3 linked regions of the Alligator mississippiensis genome follow. The protein of the gene in region 3 binds, or shares a complex with, the protein of the main gene of each other region. Links are inferred from orthologs where the notes say so. Each region holds a gene or a part of one and is shown on either strand. Other genes may lie near its edges.

Region 1 (6,956 bases), on a different chromosome or scaffold from region 3:
CCTGCCTTGCAGAAGAGCCACCTCCTTTCAAGAGCCTCCTCCTCACAGCCTGATCTTAGATCCACTGCCCAACTCAGAAATCAGCCCTAATATTAGGTGCTCCTCCTGGACCTGTCCACCCAACACAGTACCCCTTCAGCTTGCTACAGCTGTTTCTCAACACCGCCATCCCAGCCTGCACCCACCTTCCTCCCAGACTGCTGACTCACACGGGAAGTGAGTCAGAGAAACTCACCGAGTGGGACATCTTTTTTCTGCCCTGTTGTATAGTTCAGCCCAGGATGGGCCATGGCTTGAGATTGTGGCACAGCCCTCCCTGTGCCTAGCCCACACCACCACATGAGCTGAACTCACTTTCTCCATCCTTGGCCTGCCCAGCTTCAGGCTGCCCCAGCCTTCCTACAGCAATGCATGTCACCTCTGCCCCACTAACTCAATCTCACTTGACAGCTCCCTACAAAATGTCTCCCAGAGTCCTTTGGGACACTAGGGTTGCAGTGAGTCTTGGCCTTCTACTGTTGCACCTTGGTGCAAGGAGGATACCTCTCAATATTCTCAGGCCCAATCCAAAAGCTGCCCTGCCTCTGAAGACAGCCCTACTTATCCTGGGGAACTAGACTGAGGAACAGGATATCGTCCTATCCTCATTGGCTGGAAAATAAATACAAATATGGAAAGCTGCCCTTGCAACACAAGACCAGGCCTTAGAGCACTTCATTCTGCTCTCCTCATCATCAGGCTGCCAATCAGTCCAACCCTTTGTCTCCCTCTGTTTAATACTTACCAGTCCTCAGTCTCAAGCCAGTTTCTACCCTTAACCTATATCCCTCTCTTGGGCCTGCAGTCTCCACCCAGCTCCAATGAACTAAACTCACAGGGCCTCTCTAGGTACTTGCCATGGCTTCACAAGGCTACTACCTTCTCCAAACCAAAACACTCAACAATACACTCCCTAAGATGCTCGCTTGTAGCCTCCACTCTTCCCCTCTAGCCACCCCATGCCTCACAGCTAATATAAACTGAAAGAGAAACAAAAACAACTCATCTATGAGACCCTCTGCAGAGATCCTTCTCTCTTCAAGGTCTGGGCCAGAAAGCCCCCTCCAACCTAAAAGCCAGTCTTATATTGCCCTAGGCTCCATTCCCTTTGGGTCACCTGACCTCTAACTCTCAGAACCAGGCATAGGGCATCCTCTTCACTAATTAGTAAACTTATTTTTTGGAGCCCATCTCCATGGCCTGCATGTGCAGGTTGCTTTTCCATAAAGGGTTAAAGCTCTGCAGCCAGCTTCTTTGCAAGCTGCCCCCACAGCCTGCCCTCTGTGGCACTGCATTCACTCCACTCAACTAATAAGGATCAGGAGCCCCTATTACATACGCCTAGCCAGGCACAAACAGTGCACGGATGCTGAAAGAAACCAAGACACCATGTTGGTCTGACGAAGCTTTCCTTCTCAATTCATGGCAGAGGAGCAGCACTGCTTGCTCCTGGGGGACACAAGCTTATGCACATGTCCTATGGGCCACAGCAGTACCTGGTGACCAAGGCCCACAAGGCAACAGCTTCAGCTGCTGGCCAATTAGCAGCAGGTCAAGTCACCCACCATCAGCTATCCTTTACCCCTGGTAAGGGAGCCCCTCGCCCCAGACAACATTGAGTGATGGCATTTCTTTCCTGCCTTTGGCATGAAGGTGTGCCCTGTTTCAAACTGCATTTTCTTGTTTGGCGACTACATCACATCACTCCAACTTCTTCTCTGTTAGACCAGTGAGGCAATGAACCAGACTGCCTAGGGAAGCTGTGAACTCTCCTTCACAGGAGGGGTTCAAGAACAGGTGAGACAATCATTGGACAGGGATGATCTAGCTACGCCCAAGGGTGCTTTTAGAGCACCAGCTAGAAGCCCAGAAGCTCCCCGACATACACCGCTGGCTGGAGATAACTAGAGGAACAGTACAGCCTAGAGCAGGCTATGCTCAGCAGCAGAACGAAGCAGAGCTCCTTGACTGGCTGAGTTACATAAGGCTAAACCAGTCAGGACAAGCTTACGGCAGGGACAGAGCAGGTCAGGCCACCCAGGGAGAGGCTGCAATGGGTGGCATTGTACATGCTGGCCAAAACTGCTGGGCACAGTGCAAGGCACCTGGTATTTCCCAAGCGGCTGGGCTGGGCTGGGCAGGATTCCCCACTCCTGCTGCTACACCTGTGGGGGGACCTCGCTCACCTCCCCCAGAACTGCTGTGGACCAAACTGGGCCGTCCCAGGGCTCCTGCTGGGGCTAAGCCCCGACGCTCCTGGGGGAGGGGCTTGCCCCCCTGCCGCGGGTCAGACAGGTTCCCATGTGTGGTCTCAGGAGCCAGTTTCCCCCGCAGGGTTAGGCGGGACCCGCCCCAAAGCCACCGTCTCGCACTAGGACCCAGAGGCCACTTCCGGCTCGCGAAGGTTTCACCCCCCTCCCCCCACCCGGCCAGTCCCGCCCGGGGGCTGCGCGAGGCGGAAAGTCCCTCACCGGCGGGCGGGGCCCCGGGCCCGGGGGCGGCGGGGCTGGCGCTGCTGCTGCTGCTGCTGGCGCCGGCGGTTCCGGAGCTGCTGGCGGGGGCGGGCGCGATGGGCTTGTAGGACATCCCCGACGGGCGACGGCCGCGCGGGGCTCCCGGCTCGTGGCGCGGATTGGCGGCGGCCCCCGCCGCGGCGCGCGACGCTGATTGGGCGGCCGGCGAGGCGCTTCGCGCCGATTGGCCGGCGCCGTTCACCCCTCGCTCCCGATTGGCTGCCGCTGCCCCGCTCTCCTCGCTGGGTCCCGGCGCTGCGGGGTCGGCAGTGCCCTCGCGTGGGGTGTGTGCGCGCGGTCGCGCTCAGGCAGGCCCGGCTCTCAGGAGGCGCGCTCCCGCGCTGGCCGGCTCGGGGCGCGCTCTCGCGCTGGGTGGGGCCGGTGCTGCGGCGCGTGGCTGCCAGCCAGACCCGCGCTCTGCTCGCCTCCGACCCCGGCTGGCCGCTCGCAGTGACGCCGCCGCTGCGCCTGCGCGCTCCGCCCCCCGCGCTCTGTGACCTCATCACGTCGCCCCGCCTCCCGATCGCCGCCGTCTCCAAGGAAACCAGCGGGACGCTCTGCGGCGCGGCCTGGCCTGGCCTGGCCGGGCGGGGCGGCTCGTGTCGTGTGTCGCACGGTGCGTAGGGCCTTCGTGTCCTCCTGCAGCACTTCGTGTTTGCGCCTCCTCCGCGTCCAGCCCGTGTGCAGCTCTTGCAGCCCGCCCCGCCGGCGCTCCGGGGCGCTGGGCAGGAAAAGGACCCCGGGAGGCTGCCTGCTTTCTGTGGTGCAAGAGAAGTGACCATTTTTGCCTGATCAGGCCACAGAAAGCAGCTTCTAGCTGTGACCAAACACAAGCACGCGGCTGCAGACAGCTTCAAAAACGGCCTGCCTGGTGAAAACCTGACCCCCTGTTGCAGGAGGGATCAGATAAAGACCTTTCAAACTAGCGTCTTCTGTAACTTGTGTCTGGGAGCTCCCAGCCTGTCGCTGTTTTCAGGACGGGAGGGGGAAAGGGGGCAGAGGGAGTACACCAGTGGGACAGGTGTATTGGAGGCCCCCTAGGTTCGGGGAGAGGCTCCAATTCACCTCTACCCTTTGGCACCAGCCAGGGAGCCCGAAGAAGAGCTCCCTCCATGGCCTTTCGCCTCTCTCATTCTCGAAAAGGTGAACGCTGGCACAGAGCTTCGCCATTGCTGTGGGAACCTGGCCTCCAGCTAGATCCCCCCCCAACCAACAGTGAACTTCTGTTTCGTCTGGGGTAAGCTTGTAACTCAGAACCAAAAGTCGTTTTGAGTTACAGCTGGCAGCTGCACCTCTTTCTGCATCCCTAGAGTTCCCTGTTCATGTGAGGGGGAAGGTAGGGAAAGCACCGCTGGCTCCAGGAGAGGGCATTACAGTGGGTGCTGCAGCCTCCCTAGGCCTTGTGGTCTTTAGCTTCCCAGTGGCATTTCTCTTGGAAGCATTGGTGACGCGTAGGGGGAGTGTAGGTCAAATCATCATGAGATGATTCAGTCTAATTCACAAAGAATTAAAATAAAATAAGTCTGTATCTAGGCTGCTTCAGAAGGGCACACTTGAAGTCAACCAGCCTAAGGAGCCCCGGGAATTGAATTCAAGTGCAGAAACTCAAAGATGCAAACATCTATCTGGACCTTGTATTCAGTGGGGAGGAGGGATATCACCTCAGGAAGGATATTTGGAATAAGCAGAGTCTGCAAAAAGTGGGATAAATGGTCAGAACAGCCCAGAAAGCTAAGAAATTTAAGAATAAAGTGAGAATTGCTAAACATTAAGACGTGTTAGACATTGCAACATTTAAGAAAAATAACAAAAGAAATAGAGAACAAGGACAGAAGCGGGGTGGCTAGTATGCAGTGAGGGGTGCAATGTGGGCCACAAACTGAGTAAATACTGGGTGTGTCTACAGGAGATGCTTTACTGCACAATAGACTAATTTACTGCGTAGTAAAGTGTCACTATTTATCCATATGCCAAGCTACTGCATTATAGGCTAATGTGCAGTTATCTACTACCTGAAAATACATGTAGTAGTAGATCAAGTGTACATTAGCCACTGTGCAGTAGTGCATGTGCAGATGCTGGCCAGGAGCATTTGCTCTGGGCCAGTCCAGGCACCAGGGGGCCCACTGCTGCCAGGCTAAGCCCCATGTGGCAGGAGCTGTGCTGGCTGCAGGGGCAACTGTCTCCCTGCCACATAGGGACAGGGACTGTCCTGATCACCACATGGCTGGGAGAGCTGTCCTGGCAGCCAGGACTGCTGCATCCCAGCCAAGTGGGACTCAGGATCCCAATAGCTACATGACCGAGAGAGGTGTCCCCACATGGCCAGAAGAAACATCCTCACCTGGCAGAGACAGCCATGTGGGGATGGGAAGGGTCCTCTCCCAGTCATGTGGGGATCAGGACCCTCCTGATTCCCATATGGCTGCCAGGCAGCACCCCTCTCCCAGCCACTTGGGTCCAATCCCCACGTGGCTGGGATTCAGCAGTCCCAGCTGCTAGGACAGCTTTTCCCCTACACGTGGTGATTGGGACCAGCTCCCTGCCCTTTGCCAGCCGGGAGCTGGCACCTCGGGGAGCCTGGAGCTCCCCCTGGCTGCTGCAACAAGGCAGAGCAGGGCAGGGGGGAGGGGGCACAGGGACATCCCTTGTCTCACCTGCTCCAGTTGGGAGCAAATTTGCCAGCACACATGTAAGACTTTTCCCCAGGTGCAATTTACTACTCCTTTTTTAATGTGCAGTAAGTGCATTTATAGCACATGTAGATGCACCCACTTCTCATTTTGCAGTAAGGAAAGTTAGGCTGACAGTGGAGCCAAAGGCAGGGTGAGAGGGTATGGAAATGGAAATGACCACGGCTGAATGGGAAACAGAATACTAAGAGCTCAATGTGCCCATGTAGGGGTGGGGGCTTGGCAGTCTGCATCCTGGAATTCTGAAAGACTCAACACCCACAATCACAGGTCTGGGAGCAAGGATTTGTAATTAATCTATCAAATCAAGAATTGTATCCTATGGCTAGAAAATAAATAGTGCCTGTATTTATTGAGAAAGGAGTGACCTGGGCAACTAGAGGCCTGTTTAGGTTGAGATTCTGCCCAAGTCAAAGGGCTAGTTGTGTTAGCATGGTTAAAACAAGCCAGTTTCCAGTCAGCAGCACACAAGGGAATGATGTGGCTAGTATCACTGCCAGCTCCTTTTAATTTCCCAGCCACAGAAACCTGGTATCTATTTATAGCTAAGTCAACTGTTGGCAGCTTTTGGCACAACTCCACAGCAGGGCTCAAATTCACACTTTGAGCAAGACACCTTTACAGTTTCATCAGCACATCTGTTAGTCTGGCCTTAATAATATGAAGATGTTTTAATTAATTTTAATCGTTGCATTTTGAATTAATTTTGAAGACTAAAAATTAGTTATATGGAAAATGGGAAAAATTACAATACGAGTTTACAAAAGTTTAAACATTCCATCCTGCATCTTCACTAAGATAGCAGTCTTTCTAGACCAAGAACATGTAGTAGAGCTCATTTGTCTGGACTTCAGAGAAGCATTTGAAAGAATGTCACCTAGGAAATTATTAGCTAAACTGAAAGCAATGAATACTATACAAGAACTGTTGGGTGAGTAAGGACCTGATTAAAGGGAAGATGACAGCTGGTAGCATTGAAAGGGGAAATATTGGGCTGAATAACAGAAGGGAGTGCCTCCAGGATCGGTCTTGAGACTGAAATTATTTTCTTTAATGACCTTGGCACAAATAGCAGGAGTGTGTTATCAATAAATTTCATTAACAAACTAATACTGATTGACCCAGTGCAGAGTACACCTTGGCTTAGTCTGCCCCCTTTCCTGCCTACACACAAAATAGACCTGTCCTCATCTCCAGTCCCATCTCCCCAGATCACAAAACAGGGATTCCACTCACTCCCAACCCTAGTGCTCCACACACAATATGGTCCCTCAACTAAGGTGACCACCCGTTCCTAATTGGGCAGGACAGTCCCAAAATTTAAAGGTCAAATCCTTGTCCCAGGCTGCTTGACTCCTGGACAGCATTTGTCCTGGGTTTCCCAGTAGCATGCAGGGAGCCAGGTTTTCCATTTGCTGTGGAAAACTGTGGGAAACAGCAGGTTTCCCCTTTCAGCCTGCAAGGGGCTGCTTGGGGCTAAGGGAAGCAAGACATGGGAGGAGCCACATGCATGTGTGCACTCACGCATGTGGCCAGCAACACAGCCCCAGGCAGCAGGGGAGAGCAGCTCCCCCAGCTGCCTACAGATAAGTCTGGGGTGGGGAGGCAGATTGAGGTCCCCATGGTGAGGGAGGGAGTGGGGCAGGGTTAGCAGCTGAGGCTGGGGCTGGGGATGCTACCCAGCCGGGGTGGTGCATGGGGCCCAAGGTAG
Region 2 (7,950 bases), on a different chromosome or scaffold from region 3:
ACCTTGGCAGCTAGATTAAAGCTTGCATTGGTTTGCCTTCCTGCCCTGCAATTGCAGTTTCCATTTCTGTGTAGACACACTTTTACAGACTCAAAACAAGGGCTCTTTATTCTGTATTCAGGTTTAATAATAAAATAAGGGAATTCTTTTAACTCCAGACCATGTGAGAAGCTGCCCACTAACTTTCATCCAGAAGTAGGCTGGAAAAGGAAGTTTACTGATAAGAGTATCTATTTGTTCTCTTGGAGGCCCTGACAATATCCTCCTGAATAGGTAAAATCCCAATCCCACAACAGTGAATTTACATCAGAGCACATTAGTAGCCAGAAGGGGCAGAAGTCCAAGCAGCAAGTCCCAAACCAAAGCTCCCCAATATATTCAGAGGTCAGTTTTGCCCAACACAACATTCCTAGAGATGCAAAATCCAAACAGATACCGGTGATCACACAGGCAGCCAATTCAGTGCAAAGCCACTCAAACCTGCCTAAAACAAAGATGGAAAATACACATTTGATTGTTTCCAAAAGCAGCCCATATTCATACTCCTGTGAATGTTTGGTGAAGAAAAGCATCTCTGTTATAGCTAAGAGACATGATCTGAAAAGTTTAGAACGAGCAGTCAAATTCGGCACTTGATTTCTGCAACTGATGCTCTGACCTCCTTTTCAAGTTGCCATTCATCTATAAACCAAGGTGATCTGCAAGCGTTGTACATGTATACATACAATATACATTTAGGAAATATAGCATCCATATTAGAGCGCAAAACAGAGTTTCCTGAAAGGCACTGTAGGTCCTGTAAGTCCCTACAAGAGTTGTCTACCAGCCAAACAGGGAAAAAATGCCGTGAGAAAGATAAGACTCAACTGTTAGTTCTGGAGGACAGATAAACAGATTTCACAGGTCAACAGGAACAAAGCTATGGCCCAGACCACGAACAAATCCCTGGCAACAGTTTGCACAAGCGTATGACCATACCACAATAAAATAATGTTCAGCACAACTGCTGTCAAACTAACTTCCAAACTTGGTTTTAAGAGTTATTACCATCTACATTTACTGAGTCAAAAAAACAGCCTAGTATAGGCCTACGATCACTAGGGCAGGTACTGGTTGATTCATACATGGGTCATCATCCATACAAGCACCAAAGTATCTCAGGAGGACAATATGACTGGGTGACCAAAACAACTACAGGCTTCCCTTGCCAACCACTAGCCATTCAGGTTAGATTCCTGAAAGTTCCTGTGGTAGGCAAGACAAAAGGCATATATGAAAAATGGCAGGGGGCGGGCCGATACGCAGCCGTGGAAAACTGGGGTTACTTAGAACTGTATACCGTTTTGGCTACCACAGTATACAGAATTTTAAGCGTGGAGACTCAAAACCATGGTTGGCGAAGGAAACCTGTAGTCAATATATCATCAGAATCAAGATGGTCTATTCACAGCTGCTCATGACCTAATCACATCTTGTGTGCACCCATCTCCTGTGCGAGTTACAACAAAGTTTGAAGCAGAAAGGTACTTGTTTCCAAACTCAGGGGCAACCAACACAGCCTCCTACTTCTAGTCACACTCAACAGAGTAGTCATCTAGAAATAGTTCCATCATCCCTGTAGGTCTTGGCAACATGACAAGTGAAGGTTTCATCCACATGTAAGTTAACAGAGTGGTAATCACGATAAATAGTCTTTGCCTTGAACAGCATGGCCTACAGAGCAGCTCTCTGTCTTCCAAGCAAAGCAAAGCAACACCTTAGAGACTAACTCATTCAGTTACTAAGGTGCCACCCTGCCCTGCCTTCAGACTAACAGGGCTAACTATCGCTCTAAGCCAATACAACTAGAGAGACTGGTACTCACTAACAGAACAGCCAGGCCCTCAGAAACCCCGTTTACAAACTGCGACAAGAAACGAGCCGAAAGCCAGCAAAACTTCTTGTTCTTCACCGTCCAGGTCTCAAGCGTCTCCAATCCATGGCAGCGGCGCTCAACCCTCGCCACCATCTTCCCAGTGGCCCAAGGGGCAAAGTCATGGCAACCAAATTGTAGTACGGTCTCATCATCAAGCCAAAACGCAGCCAGGAGGAAGGTATCCATGTCCTGGCATTTCACGGAGGGCCAGGCAACAGGGAGGTGCAACAAGTTGCACAGGGAGAGCCATATCCATGAGCAGGACCGGGAGGACAACAGCAAGCCCCCGTCGGGGCTGGGGCTGCTGCAACTTCCTGCCGCTCTCCCACCTGTCAGGTTTTCTTTGTTAAATCTACTCTAGTCCATCTCCCCACCCCAAGAGAGCGAGCGCCACAGCGCACTCGGGACCCCCGCGCCCTGGGGCCGAAGCAGTGCAGGGGTCTCCGATTCCCCCCGCCCGCCGCCAGCCTGAGACGGGCTCCGCGACCAGCTCCCCCGAGGGAGCGGGCGGAGGGCCGAGGCCGCCCCGAAAGCTCGGCCTCACCGCGGGGCCCGTGCTCGCCCCGGGCCAGCGCCGGCCAGGATGCGCAGGGCGGGGGCGGCAGGCAGCACACACCCGCGCCCCTCCAGCCAGCGCTGCCCCGGCCCTCTCTCTTCGCCCCCCAGCCCCGGGACATGCTCCAGCCTCACGCACCCCCGGCCCGGCCCGTGACGCCGCCGCACACGGGGAGGAGCGGCCGGCCAGCCGGCAGGCGGGAGAGAGAGAGGCAGGTAGGGGGCCGGGGCCCCTCCGCGGGGACTCTTACCTCCGACCCGGTACATGTTGGCGGCCATGCCCGGGCGGGGAGCGCGGGGGCCCGGCCCGCTCCCACCGCCGCTGCCTCCAGGTGCCGGAGCCGCTGGAAAATGGAGGCTGGAGCGGCCGGGAGGGGGAGGGGAACGAGGGAATTAAAGGGGCCGCGCCGGCCGCCGCCTCCCCCGGCCGGCAGGGAAGGCGAGGCGAGGCGAGGCGAGGCGAAGCGAAGGGAGGGCCGGGCCGAGAGAGGGCTGGCACTCGGGCGGGGTGGAGGTGATGGTGGCGGCGTCGCGAGGCCTAGGCCGCCCTGCCTCGCCCCGCCCCACCTGACCCGCCCCGCCCCGCCCCGCCCCGCCCCGGGAGCGCGGCGGCCCGGCCCGGCCCGGCCCTGCTCTGCTATGCTCTGTTCAGCGCCGAGAGCGGGCTCTGCTGGGCCTCGGCCCCGGCGGGTGGGGGGCCCTCCCCGCCCCGGGTCTGCCAGGCCCCCGGGGAGGCAGGCGGGCTCCTGGCCTGGACCGCGCAGGTGCCACCCACCGCCCTGGGGAACCCCGTTTGAACCCGCTGGGTGGCTGGGGCATGGGCACCGGGCTGGTCCCACACAGAGCACCGCCTGCGCCATCTCTGGCCTGACCCCATCCCACGTTAAAGCCCCGCACCAAGCGACTTCCTACTGCTGAACAAGAAACTGCCCGTAGCGAAACAAAGGATCCAGGCGCAGGAGCCTTAAAGCCGCTTGTCTGAGGCCGTGGTTACACCAAGCCAGGCCCCGGTTGCTTAAGCCCTTCTGGCGGTGGTCGCGGCCACAGGAAAGCGCAGTTAAAACCGAGCTTGAGATGGACAGCGACAGGGACCGTTTCCTGCCGCACGCAGCCAGGGCAGGATGGCTACTGCACCTCAACAACACGCAGGCCCCCAGCTTCCTAGCTTCTGGGTTTAAGGTCACACCTTTCTTTCAGTAAAAACAACACTAAACATTAGAAAAATTAAAGGTGCCTCCCTCATTCCCCTGTTAGGCCTTATCCCAGCCTTGAGGGTTTTGGCCAATCAATTCGCTCCAGGAGGAGCGGGAATCACAGTTCACTAGGGTTGTGGTTCAAGTGCCATCGCCATTAGGCGAGAGGCAAGGATTCCTCGGGGCGACATCTTTTATTGAACATGCTGCATAGCTGGGGTAGAGTTAGACCAGGATTCAAATGCAAGACCTCCAATAGGTCTCTAGGCTTGTCTAGCTGTATCCCAACTATACAGTTAAGTCCAATAAGAGATGTCATCCTAAGAAATCCTCGCCTCTTGCATAATTCCTTGACCATCACAGCTACAACATCACTCTAACACTACCGCTGCTAAAAGGAGCACCCGTCAAGTCTGCTGCACGTGGAGCTGGCTGGTGGTAGTTGCTGCTCCTTCTGTGCTGAGTTCCTTAACCAGTGTGGACGACACAGAAACTCTGTACCATTACGTTCGGTGACAGCAGCTGGTGTTGTCCAGTACTTCCCATCCAATTTTAATAGGGCCGAGTGTCCAGGTTTATCTTCAAGTAAGCTTTAGGCAGCATTCTGACAGTTAAAGAAGAAAGCCAAAAGATGTCTTTGGAGTCAGCACCCTAGAGCTTTTGTATCCTTTAAACTAGGATTACTCAAGCCTAAAATGTACTTCTGAGGTTAGAGCCTTGTTTTTCAACTGACCTGAGGTAACTCTTGTGACTGAAGCAGACATGGCTGTGGAGCTCAGAGCTAGCGTTGAATTTTTTATTTTTTTTTTGTAGACTTTTCTTAGTAATATAATATACAGCTTTCTCTGGTATTACATTCCCTGGGGGAAGGCTAGAATTAATATTGAAATTGTTCTATAATCACCATAAGTTGAAATTCAGGGCTGGCAAATATAATCCATTGTCAGCAACCATTTTTCAGAGGTCAAACTGGAAAAAAAAAGTCTTCTAACTTTCCCTAAGCCCTTTTGGCTTACAGGTTTAATGAGAAGTAGCATTTTTATAAAGCTAGAAAAAGTTAATGGTTATTGACCAGACCTGCCTCATTTCCTCCTTCTCATCAAAGGAAGTTATTCGAATTGCCTTTCTTTCAGATCACTCAAGATTTGCATGTTTTTACCTTCATTTTAGGCCCTGTGGTGTATTGGGTCAGCACACTAACATCCAGGCTAACACTAGTATTTTTGAGGTCCTGCTACTCCTTATGCAGTCTTTACAACAGGTCACTCTGCAGGGACTGTGGGATCACAGTACAAATACTATAGGTAATCAAACTTTTCTCTTTACAGAGTTAAACTCTCATTAAATAGATGTCACAGACTGCATGGTAAACCCCTGATACATAATCAAGCCAATCTTGTTTGAAAACTTTGGAACCGGCTTGCAGAGACAGACCAAACAGCTATTTTAATCGGTTCTTTTTTTTTTTTCTGGCAAGAGTGAGCAGAAACTCTTTTACATATATGGCCTCTGGAGAGGTCAGATCATAAAATAGGGCTCTTCGAGAAAGCGTAACCACTTTTACAGGCTCTCTAAAAGATTGGCAACTGCTTCAGTATGTATTATAGCAATACACTTGAAAGTTAAACCCATGAGCAATCTCTGGCATTTAAGATGCGTTTTGTCTGTTTGTGAGGGTACAAGTGGTTTGTGCTCCATCACCAACATGAAATTATTAAATGTTTTCAAATATCCTACAAATTACTTGTGCGTTTGTTAATCAGAAATTCTCTCTGTTTCAGCATGGCTTCTCTTGGAGTCTTCATATGCAATAGTCAAGATTTCCAAAGCTTTTTAAAATGTTTACCTCTACAAATGCAAAAGGGCTAAATCCTCCATTGTCTTTGAAAATCTCAACCAATAGTTTTCTGAATAGCGTTCCAGCCACTCATCTTCCATTAATCTGTGCAACTAAAGCACAAACTTACCAAGATCATAGCTGCTGGTTTCTACTGAAATAGCTACAAACCTGGAAGCATCATCAAATAGCACTATTGGGGATACAGTAAGTAGATGCATCAGACCCTCAAAAACACATTCCTTTACCTTATCTCAGGTTTGCCTTCATTGTTTTATGCAAATAACTACAAACGTGCCTTTCAAGGGTTCCAAAATCTAGCAATTACTGAGACATAATACCATTTCTATTTTCACAGCGATGGCCTTTCAGCTGTGGCTTTGATTTCTTTTGTCACTGCCCTAACCCTTTCTTTATCAATCAATATAACTAGTTTGCTGGAACATACATCTTTATCAGTTTAGCTTTAGTCAATTATCTTCAGTTGCCCTCTAAATTTACTTTAGCTTTAAGTTGAGCTTAATAGATTCCGTTCAACTACAATGTCATCCACAAACTCCTTTGCTTCAGGCCCCAATGAATCTAATTTCCATGCAGAAGATTTCTGAGATATTTGTGACACTGAACAGGAAACAGTGAAATTCACTGTGCCAACTGATGACACTGCCTGCTTGCCATTACTAGGGTAGAACAGCACTTAACAGAAATCTTCAGCTACATGCAATAAGGAGACTACTGTTGCACAAGATTATTTGGAGAGGAAGCCAGTAATTCTCCCAACTGATGCATCTATTTTGCAGTGTTTTGAGGGCAAAACCGTGTTAATTGGGAGTCTTCAAGTGGCTTGAAGCTGGGGTAGAGACTCTAATGCCAACCTCCATCCCAGATTCACAAGTTCAAAGTCATTCTAGCAACCCTCAGCAGTGAAGACAATTTCATAAACTAAAGGCAGCAGGGTATAATTTACAGGAATTCTGGGACTGCTAGAAGTTGTACCAGGAACAGAAGTGACCCCAGTCAGCAATGGGATAAAGATGCCACTATTCTTCCCTTAATCTCCCCCTCTCTGGTCTTTCACCAAATGAGAATTTCTCTCTCTTCCACTGCTGTTTTCATAGACATTAGGGCTGGAAGGGACCTCAGAAGATCATCGAGTCCAGCCCCCTAACCCAAGGGACAGGAAGTCAGCTGCGGTCATAGGATCCCAGCAACTTAAGCATCCAAATTTCTCTTGAAGGCATTCAGTGTAGGTGCTTGAACCACCTCCCATGGCAGGCTATTCCAGACCTTGGGGGCTTGGACAGTAAAGAAATTCTTCCTTATGTCCAGCCAGAAATGGTCTTGCAGTAGTTTATAACCATTTGACCTCGTCATCCCTTGGGGCGCTCTGGTGAACAATCATTCCCCCAGGTCCTGGTGAACACCCCTGATAAACTTATAGCTGGCCATCAGGTTGCCCCTCAGCCTGAACTTTTCCAGGCTAAAGAGCCCCATAACTCTCAGCCTGTCGTCATAAGGTCTGTTTTCCTGACCTCTGATCATGCACGTGGCTCTTCTCTGGACTCTCTCAAGCTTCTGCACATCCTTTTTTAATTGTGGAGCCCAAAACTGGACACAATACTCCAGCTGCAGCCTCACCAAGCCTGAGTACAATGGGAGAATGACGTCCCAGGATTTATTTGAGAAGTATCTCTGGATGCAAGCCAGTGTTTTGCTCACTTTACTAGCCACAGCATCACATTGAAGGCTTATGTTCATCTTGTGGTCAATCATGACCCCCAAGTCCTTTTCATTCATAGTACTAGCCAGCGTAGCACTGCTGAGCCTATAAGGTTGCTGCAGGTTTTTCCTCCCAAGGTGGAGAAACTTGCATTTTTGGTGTTGAACACCATCAGGTTCTCATTCACTCATTTCCTGGGCCTGTCAAGGTCAGCCTGGATCACTCTCCTGTCCTCAGGTGTGGATGCTTTACCCCAGAGTTTGGTGTCATCGGCAAACTTGGCCAGTCCGCTTCTGACTCCAATGTCCACATCATTAATGAAGATGTTGAAAAATACAGGTCCAAGGACAGAACCTTGGGGGACCCCACTGGTCACAGGGCACCATGGCGATTGACTTCTGTCAACCACCACCCTCTGGGTCCGACCACAGAGCCAATTCCCCAGCCAGTGGATCATGGTGGACCCGAGGCTGCAGTTGACCAGTGTTGCCAAGAGGTGATCATGGGATACCAGATTGAAGGCTTTTTTGAAGTCAAGATATACGATATCAATCTCCTCTCCCTTGTCCAGGTGACAGGTAGGTCACCTGGTCATAAAAAGAAATGAGGTTGGTCAAGCAAGACCTACCCGCAACAAACCCATGCTGGCTATCCCTCAGGATATTGCCATCAGCTAGTCTGTTAAGGATGGCCTCTTTGACAATCTTTTCCAAGACCTTCCCCAGGATAG
Region 3 (6,822 bases):
AACACACATTCGAAACAAGTCTGGCTAGTCAGATTATGCCACACTGAATAAGAGAGTAATAGCTCCAATACACCCTGTGTTCCCTCCTTATCATCCCCCCCGCCCCCGCAAAAAATCACTATCCATCCCCTCTTTTTGTCTCAGTGACACTTTTCTGAGCAGAGCCACATGAAATATTTGAGGATTAGAAAGTTCTTTAGCTCAGCAGACATAGCAAAGATTGAGCAAGTGGGCTGCCGAGTCCTGCAGATGTGGCCAGCAAAGTGGCACAGGAGAAAAGTGGGGGGAGGGAAAAGGAAGAGAGAGAGGGAGCCACACCTTGGTCTTTGGGATAGACAGACTACAACACAGCAGAAAGTCCAAGGACCAGCTAGGCTGGAATCAGAGCATGGGCTCCATCCCAAGATCTCCCATAAAAATGTTTTCAGCACAAGAGACCCTGCAATGGCAAGCAAAGATCAAAACTGTCATCTGCTGCTTGCCTCTCTCCCACCTGCATAGTTGCTGCTTAGGGCAAACTCGCTGAAATCCAGTGCAACAGGATCCACAAACCCTTCTTCAAGCACAAGTCAGCAAGCTCAATCCCTCATCACTGTAATGCATTGCCAGCTCCCCCACACACTCCCATCTGTTCCCCCTCCCCCCACACAAAGCCCAGAGGAGCATGGACAGCCAGACAGCTTTTTCCTTTGTGACAAGATCCATAGCAGTCCAACCATTCGCCTTCCCCTGCCGCCCCGCCCATTACAGAGTCACTCGCTCTCCCTCCAAGGGAAAATGGCCTCCTGACCACAGGAGCTAAGCCAGATGGGGGAAGCCACAAGTCACAACAACCAAAGGACAAGAGAGAAAGGAAGTGCTCAGCCTGGGATCCTGTATCTTTGGGCAGAGAGAGTATTCTTGCCACATTTCTAATTGACATAAGTATGCCTTCATCCAGCAACATTTACTGAATCCTACCCACAAGTGTGGGCTCCATAATCTACCCCTCCAGCAAGTTCTGATTTAGAACTGTCTGATGTCCCTACACCATTTAGTACATTGCCCAAGCTTCTTAACTTCCCAGTGACTTAACCAATGAGGGGCCTGGCCCCGACCCTAACAAGGCTTCCTTTTCCTAGGCTCACAGATACCCTCTTCAGGAGGAGATGCTGGAACACCATTTTTCAGCTTCTTTCCATTGCTTCACTCTCACCCAGTCCCTCGAGATTTCTCCAGAGCTCTGCAGCTACTAGGAGGACCCCAAAAACAAACTGGCCATAATAAGCCATACCATGGCATTCTGTTGACAAGACTTTGCTGCCACCTTTCACCTATGGCGTGAAAAGGCAGTTCAGAAGCAAATTCAGGCTCATGTTTTACAACCCACTACTCCAGGATACACATTCATCCTTGTTTTACAGGTTGAGAGAAGAGGTAGAGATCTATACAGTAACAATGCTGGGAATGAAGTAGCAGTTATAAATCCCAGTCTCTTTAGCTCTCAGTCTCTGTGTGAGGCACGTGGACTACGTTTACAAAGAAGAGGCAGATACAGGGACTGCAGGTTAATACACCAGAGGATTGCATCCTACAACCACACTGCAGTCAGTACGTCTACTGCAACAAAGAGAGGGCTAAGGGGAGCAGCAGAGCAGGATCCAGGAGAAGCTGAGAGAACAGGGTGTGGTGGGTAAAGAAACTGGGTCATGCAATAGCCCAGGGCAGTTTGCTCTGGACGCTAGCAGGTCTAAGCTCCCAAGTGAAGAAGTGCAAACCCGACACCCTGCCCCAACGCAGAATCCTCCCGCCAGCCATGAAGTGTGCACCTTCTAGAGGCGGTGGGTGGCTCCATCAGGGTACATGTTCCCACCCACCAGCAACAGCTTGCAATGAGAAACTTCACCTCACTGAACTGCAGGACCAGCCGCTCTTAAAAACAACCATTAAGGCCCAAATATTCCAATCAGACGCGAAATCCTCCGAACAATACAAGTTTCTCCTGCCACTGTCTCCCACAGCACCACTGACTTGACCAAGACAGAAGAGAGCCACAGCTTGCCGCAGCAGAGATCCTGACAGTGCTATCCATACCTGGATGCTGAGGAATACTGTTGTTCAGCAGGATCTCCATCTCATCATCATCGCTACCAGCAGAGCAGGGTGACAGCGGACCAATGCCTGATGCCATGTCTTCCCAAAGCAGGGACACCAGGGCTTACACAGCTCGTGCAGCCTTGTCTCCTTCCTCCTGCCCGTCAGCTTCCTGAAAAGGGAGAAGGAAAGTAAGTTACAGCAGCCGGCAGGAGACCCACCCTGCAGAGAAGGGATTGCCCCCCCGCAGCACGTGGGGAGCGGACTGGAGAACTGGGAAGGGGGCGGCTGCGCGCGGGTACCAGCCCCCATCCTCCCCCGGCAACGAAGCCGAGCAGCAGAGTCCTGCCTGGCGGGAGCCGCGCCACGGCCCGGAGGGGACGCCTGGGGCCGGCGGGCGCACGCCTGCCTGCCAGGGCCGGCTCTGCCTGTCGACGAGAAGGCGGCCTGGGCCGGGGCCAGCGCCAGGGGCCCGGGGCAGCAGCCGCGCCAGTCGGCAGGCCCGGCCCACGCCTCCAGTCCCCGACCACGCCGTGCCGCGCCGGCCCAGGGGGCTCCCCCGCCCGGCCCTGGCCCCGGCCCCGCCCCCGGGGCTGCCCCTAGCGGCCGGCGCGGCGTGGCCGGGGGACAACAAAGGCCGCGTCCAGGCCGGCGGGGGCGGGCGGGGCAGGAGGCGCTCGGGTGCCGCGTCGCGGTGGGGCCGGGGCCGGGCGGCAGGTGCGCCCCGTGCAGGCTGGGCCGGGCGCGGGGCCCCACGGGGCGCCGGGCGGGCACGCGAGGGACCCGGGGCGGCACCCCCTGCCACCCCCCCGGCCGCGTCTTCTCCCGGCTCCTCACCCAGTCCCACTCGCCGCCGCTGAAGGGAAAATGGCTCCTGCCCCGGTGCCGCCTCTTAAAGGGGGGAAAAAAACCCCAGCCAGGCCCCGCCTACTCTCACCTCCATCCCATAATATGCTCCGGCACCTCGGCAACGAGCCCCGCCCCTGTCACCCGGGCAACCAGACATCCCATAATATTTACCCTCCACTCAGAACTCCCCACTCACTTGCCCGGCCTTGCATCCCATAATAATCAACTCCCCCCCTTTCCATCAGGAACATCCCATAATAGAACCCTTCCTCGGAGAAACATCCCATAATATACTCCCCACACTCTAACCCCTTCACTCCAACATCCCATAATACTCCTTTGCACCAACCCACGATAATGCCCCCTGCCTCACCCTCACCCTCCCTCCCCGAGACATCCCATAATAACCTCCACACTCTCCCCCCCACAGACCTCCACCTCCACCCCCCACCAACCCATAATAGTTCCTCCCCCCCACCTACACATCCTGCGGTAACCCCCCGCCCCCTCACGGAGGTATCCTGTCACTGCCTGGCCTGGCATCCCATAATAAGCCCTGCCCCCTCTTCAAGCCCCCTACTACCAGGTGCCACAATAGCCCCATAACATCCCATAATAGTCATGCCCCCTGATATGTATCCCATAATAGTCACCTTCTCCACCTCCTCCCCCACCCATGCTGCGTTCAGCCAGCCATCCCATAATAGTAGCCGGGAGCCACGGTCCAGCCCGGCATCCCATAATACTCTCAGCAACTCTTAGCCACAACCCACAATACTCGCACTCACTGCCCGCTCCCTCACTCCAGCCAAGCAGCCCATAATAATCGCATTCATATGTCCCCCCTCCATGCAGGCGGACCAGGCTGAGCAGGGTGCCAGCTAACAGCCCACGGTACTTGGGCCCCTCCACTGCCCACCAACCTCCTTGTACCCCTGACCGCTCACTTCCAGGCCCCCTCCCCGCCTTTGTATGTGGAGCATAGTAACCACTGGGGGCACGGGGCCAGCCTGCAGCCCATAATACTCTGGCATAGCCTGCCAGGATTCTTTATGCCTCCAGATGATGCAGACTCCACATACCCCAGAGTGCTCAGCGCCCCTCCAACACGCACCCAGGCAGCGAGCCCATGCTAGCTGACCTCCAGGCACACGTCTCACAGTCATCAGCTCACCCACTCTTCAAAGGGAGTCCAGCATCCAGCACTGCACCCACAAGGCATGGCAGCCCATGGTGCAGAGCTGTGCCTGTGAACCACTACCAACCTCATGTCCCATTGTGCTAGCCTCTTCATGGCTCAGGACAAGTGTAGTGGCTTCTTAACCTGGCAGGGGAAATATCATATATCTGTGTCCATGAAGGCAGTTTTCCTGAACCACACCCCGGGAGAACTGCTCTTCTGGCGTGGTTCAGTACCTGCTGAGGTGCAGTGGCTTTAAGCCCACTTTATGGAAATGGGAGTCTCCTCCCTTGCAACCAAGGGCCTTCTGGCTAAAGGCAGGCAAAACTCAGGGACATCCAAACCCCAACTCTCCAGGCTTGGGCCTGCAAGTAGGATGCCTACCAAAGGATTTGGAAACATCTGAAGCCCGAAGTGTGGGTGGAGTAGAGCCACTGATGGTTCTGGACTCTTGGATCTGGAATTAGTTTTGGTTAATTTGGCCTCGGCTATAAATTAAAAACAAACAAATGAACAAAAATACCCTCTCCCATTATGCTAGCTGCTCCTGGCCACAGACACGAGCATCCCATCATGCTAGAAACATGGCTGTGCCATAATGGTATCCTGCTTCCTCCCAGTATACACACAGACTGCCCATGATAGCATTTCTTGTTCCTTGTACACTCCAGCATTCATCGAGTGCTTCTGTGTGTATGTGTGTGCACGCGCACATGCATGTTTGTTGTTACGGACATCCCATATTACTGTTCACACCTTTCATTCCCTATACAAACATCTCGTATTGTAATTCTTCCCTTCCTTCTGTTATCCCATGGTACATACTGGCATGCTACTTACTTATCCCTCCCAGTATATGCAGAACACCCTACTTCCCCTTCACAGTGCACACAGATTTCCCAGAATGCAATCCCAACTCTAATCACTTTATTTTATACATGTAAATGCTCTAAGAATATTTATCCCAGGTCAGGCACACACAGCCCATAATACAAGGCATCCTTCCATTATAAACAGTGGCACTCATAAAACTCCCCATATCCCAATTACACACAGACATTTTTCCTGTTTATAGGCTTGAGACACTTTAGAGTTTTCGGTTTTTGGTTGTAGCCGTGCTGGTCTAAGGACATAAGCAGACAAGGTTCTTTGGGCAGATGTGATATCTTTTATTAGACGCTTCATAGCATTGTCCTTTCCTTACTAGTCATACTAATCATCACTTTATAATGACATGGGCATTCCATAAAAATACAAATAACCCAATAATACATACTTTCGTACAATATAATTAATCCCTCATCATACAAAGTGACATCCCATTAAATATATCAGATCTTCATTGTACTTATTGATGTCCCATAATATTAACCGCTCCAGTTTACCAGGACATTCCACAACTCCCAGTTATTGAGGCAGACATTCCATATTGTCCATCCTACTCGTTACATACATGGTCATTGCATAATGTTACCCATCCTCCATTACATCATGCTATTCATCCTTCCTCCTCCCCCATTACGTGCACAAATGTCCCACAATTTTACCCATACTGTATCTGAAGCACATGAATCCTCAGGATACTGCTGAAGGCCTTCATGTTACACACACTGCCACACTGCAGTACAAACTGTTCTTCATCCCACACATCACATAATACTACCTATACACACATTATATGCACAGATTTTCCCTACCACTGTCTCTTTCCTGCCACTATATGCGTGGACATCCCATCAGGCTAGCAAACCTTTCACTATATATATATATATGGACATTCTATAATAGGACCTTCGTTGTTAGCATGTACATTTGATAGTATTATCCATCTTTGATTATACTTAATTGCACCCATTATATGCTCCAACATCCTGTAACTATAAGAACAAATTCCCTTACGTGATCCATCTCAGCCAGTTCCGTGCACATCCTTCTTATATTATTACCCAAACTTGATTTTACACCCCAAATACTATTACACTGTTCACCTTCTTCTTGTACATATATAAGTCCCATGACACTCTATTCATCTGTGTAATCAATATACACGTACAGCACAGGTCTTCACCTCACTGTTTTCTCCCTTGCATAGTGATAATAATATTATTCTTTATCTAAGGATCTACAGATTAAAGCTGTTGTATAAGCACTAAGACTTATTATTAACATGAATACTATGCATCTTCCATTCTATACATAAATATATGTGATACTGTCATCAAGTATAGATACGTACATCTTCTAATAACAGCAGCATCCATTCCCTACATTTTATACACAGACATCAACAATGTTTTTCATTCCCTCATTTACCTACTGACTTCACATAATACTCTCTATTAAGGTTGTGATTTGTTGAAGAGATCTGTGTAACTCCATGGTAAACAGGCAGGCCAGCCCTCTGCACAGTTAGTTATTATAGAATTCCAGATATACCCATAAGATCTTAGCTTCTAGGGGTGTGATCAACAAGTTAAAAAGTAACATTCTGGCAGAGGTTGAATAAAGCCAGTTACCAGAGTTGGTTTCATGTATACTTTGTAACAATCTCCCTCTTAGGGGCTTTGACCTGGAGTGGGCTGTGTGCTACTCTGGTATAATGTAAATCAAACAGATATACAACAAATTCATGGGTAAAATATTTCCATTTTCCACACATTTTCCATTTAGCTAACATTCACTGAAATCTTTCATTATTCTGAATTCAAAACATTAGTATG

The links.
Region 1: CHD4 (region 3) and CDK2AP2 share a complex: the UniProt entries of both Homo sapiens proteins name them as parts of the nucleosome remodeling and deacetylase (NuRD) repressor complex. The link is inferred for Alligator mississippiensis from reciprocal best matches to the Homo sapiens genes CHD4 and CDK2AP2.
Region 2: CHD4 (region 3) and MTA1 share a complex: the UniProt entries of both Homo sapiens proteins name them as parts of the nucleosome remodeling and deacetylase (NuRD) repressor complex. The link is inferred for Alligator mississippiensis from reciprocal best matches to the Homo sapiens genes CHD4 and MTA1.

What each region holds. Positions count from the first base shown.
Region 1 is NC_081825.1:170,472,918-170,479,873, forward strand, and holds the start of CDK2AP2 (cyclin-dependent kinase 2-associated protein 2), read right to left. Parts: upstream 3,003-6,956; 5' UTR 2,626-3,002; coding exon 2,511-2,625; intron 1-2,510. UniProt on the Homo sapiens protein: Acts as a component of the histone deacetylase NuRD complex which participates in the remodeling of chromatin.
Region 2 is NC_081828.1:43,019,343-43,027,292, forward strand, and holds the start of MTA1 (metastasis-associated protein MTA1), read right to left. Parts: upstream 3,003-7,950; 5' UTR 2,750-3,002; coding exon 2,722-2,749; intron 1-2,721. UniProt on the Homo sapiens protein: Transcriptional coregulator which can act as both a transcriptional corepressor and coactivator. Acts as a component of the histone deacetylase NuRD complex which participates in the remodeling of chromatin.
Region 3 is NC_081824.1:243,465,202-243,472,023, forward strand, and holds the start of CHD4 (chromodomain-helicase-DNA-binding protein 4), read right to left. Parts: upstream 3,012-6,822; 5' UTR 2,911-3,011; intron 2,246-2,910; 5' UTR 2,171-2,245; coding exon 2,074-2,170; intron 1-2,073. UniProt on the Homo sapiens protein: ATP-dependent chromatin-remodeling factor that binds and distorts nucleosomal DNA. Acts as a component of the histone deacetylase NuRD complex which participates in the remodeling of chromatin.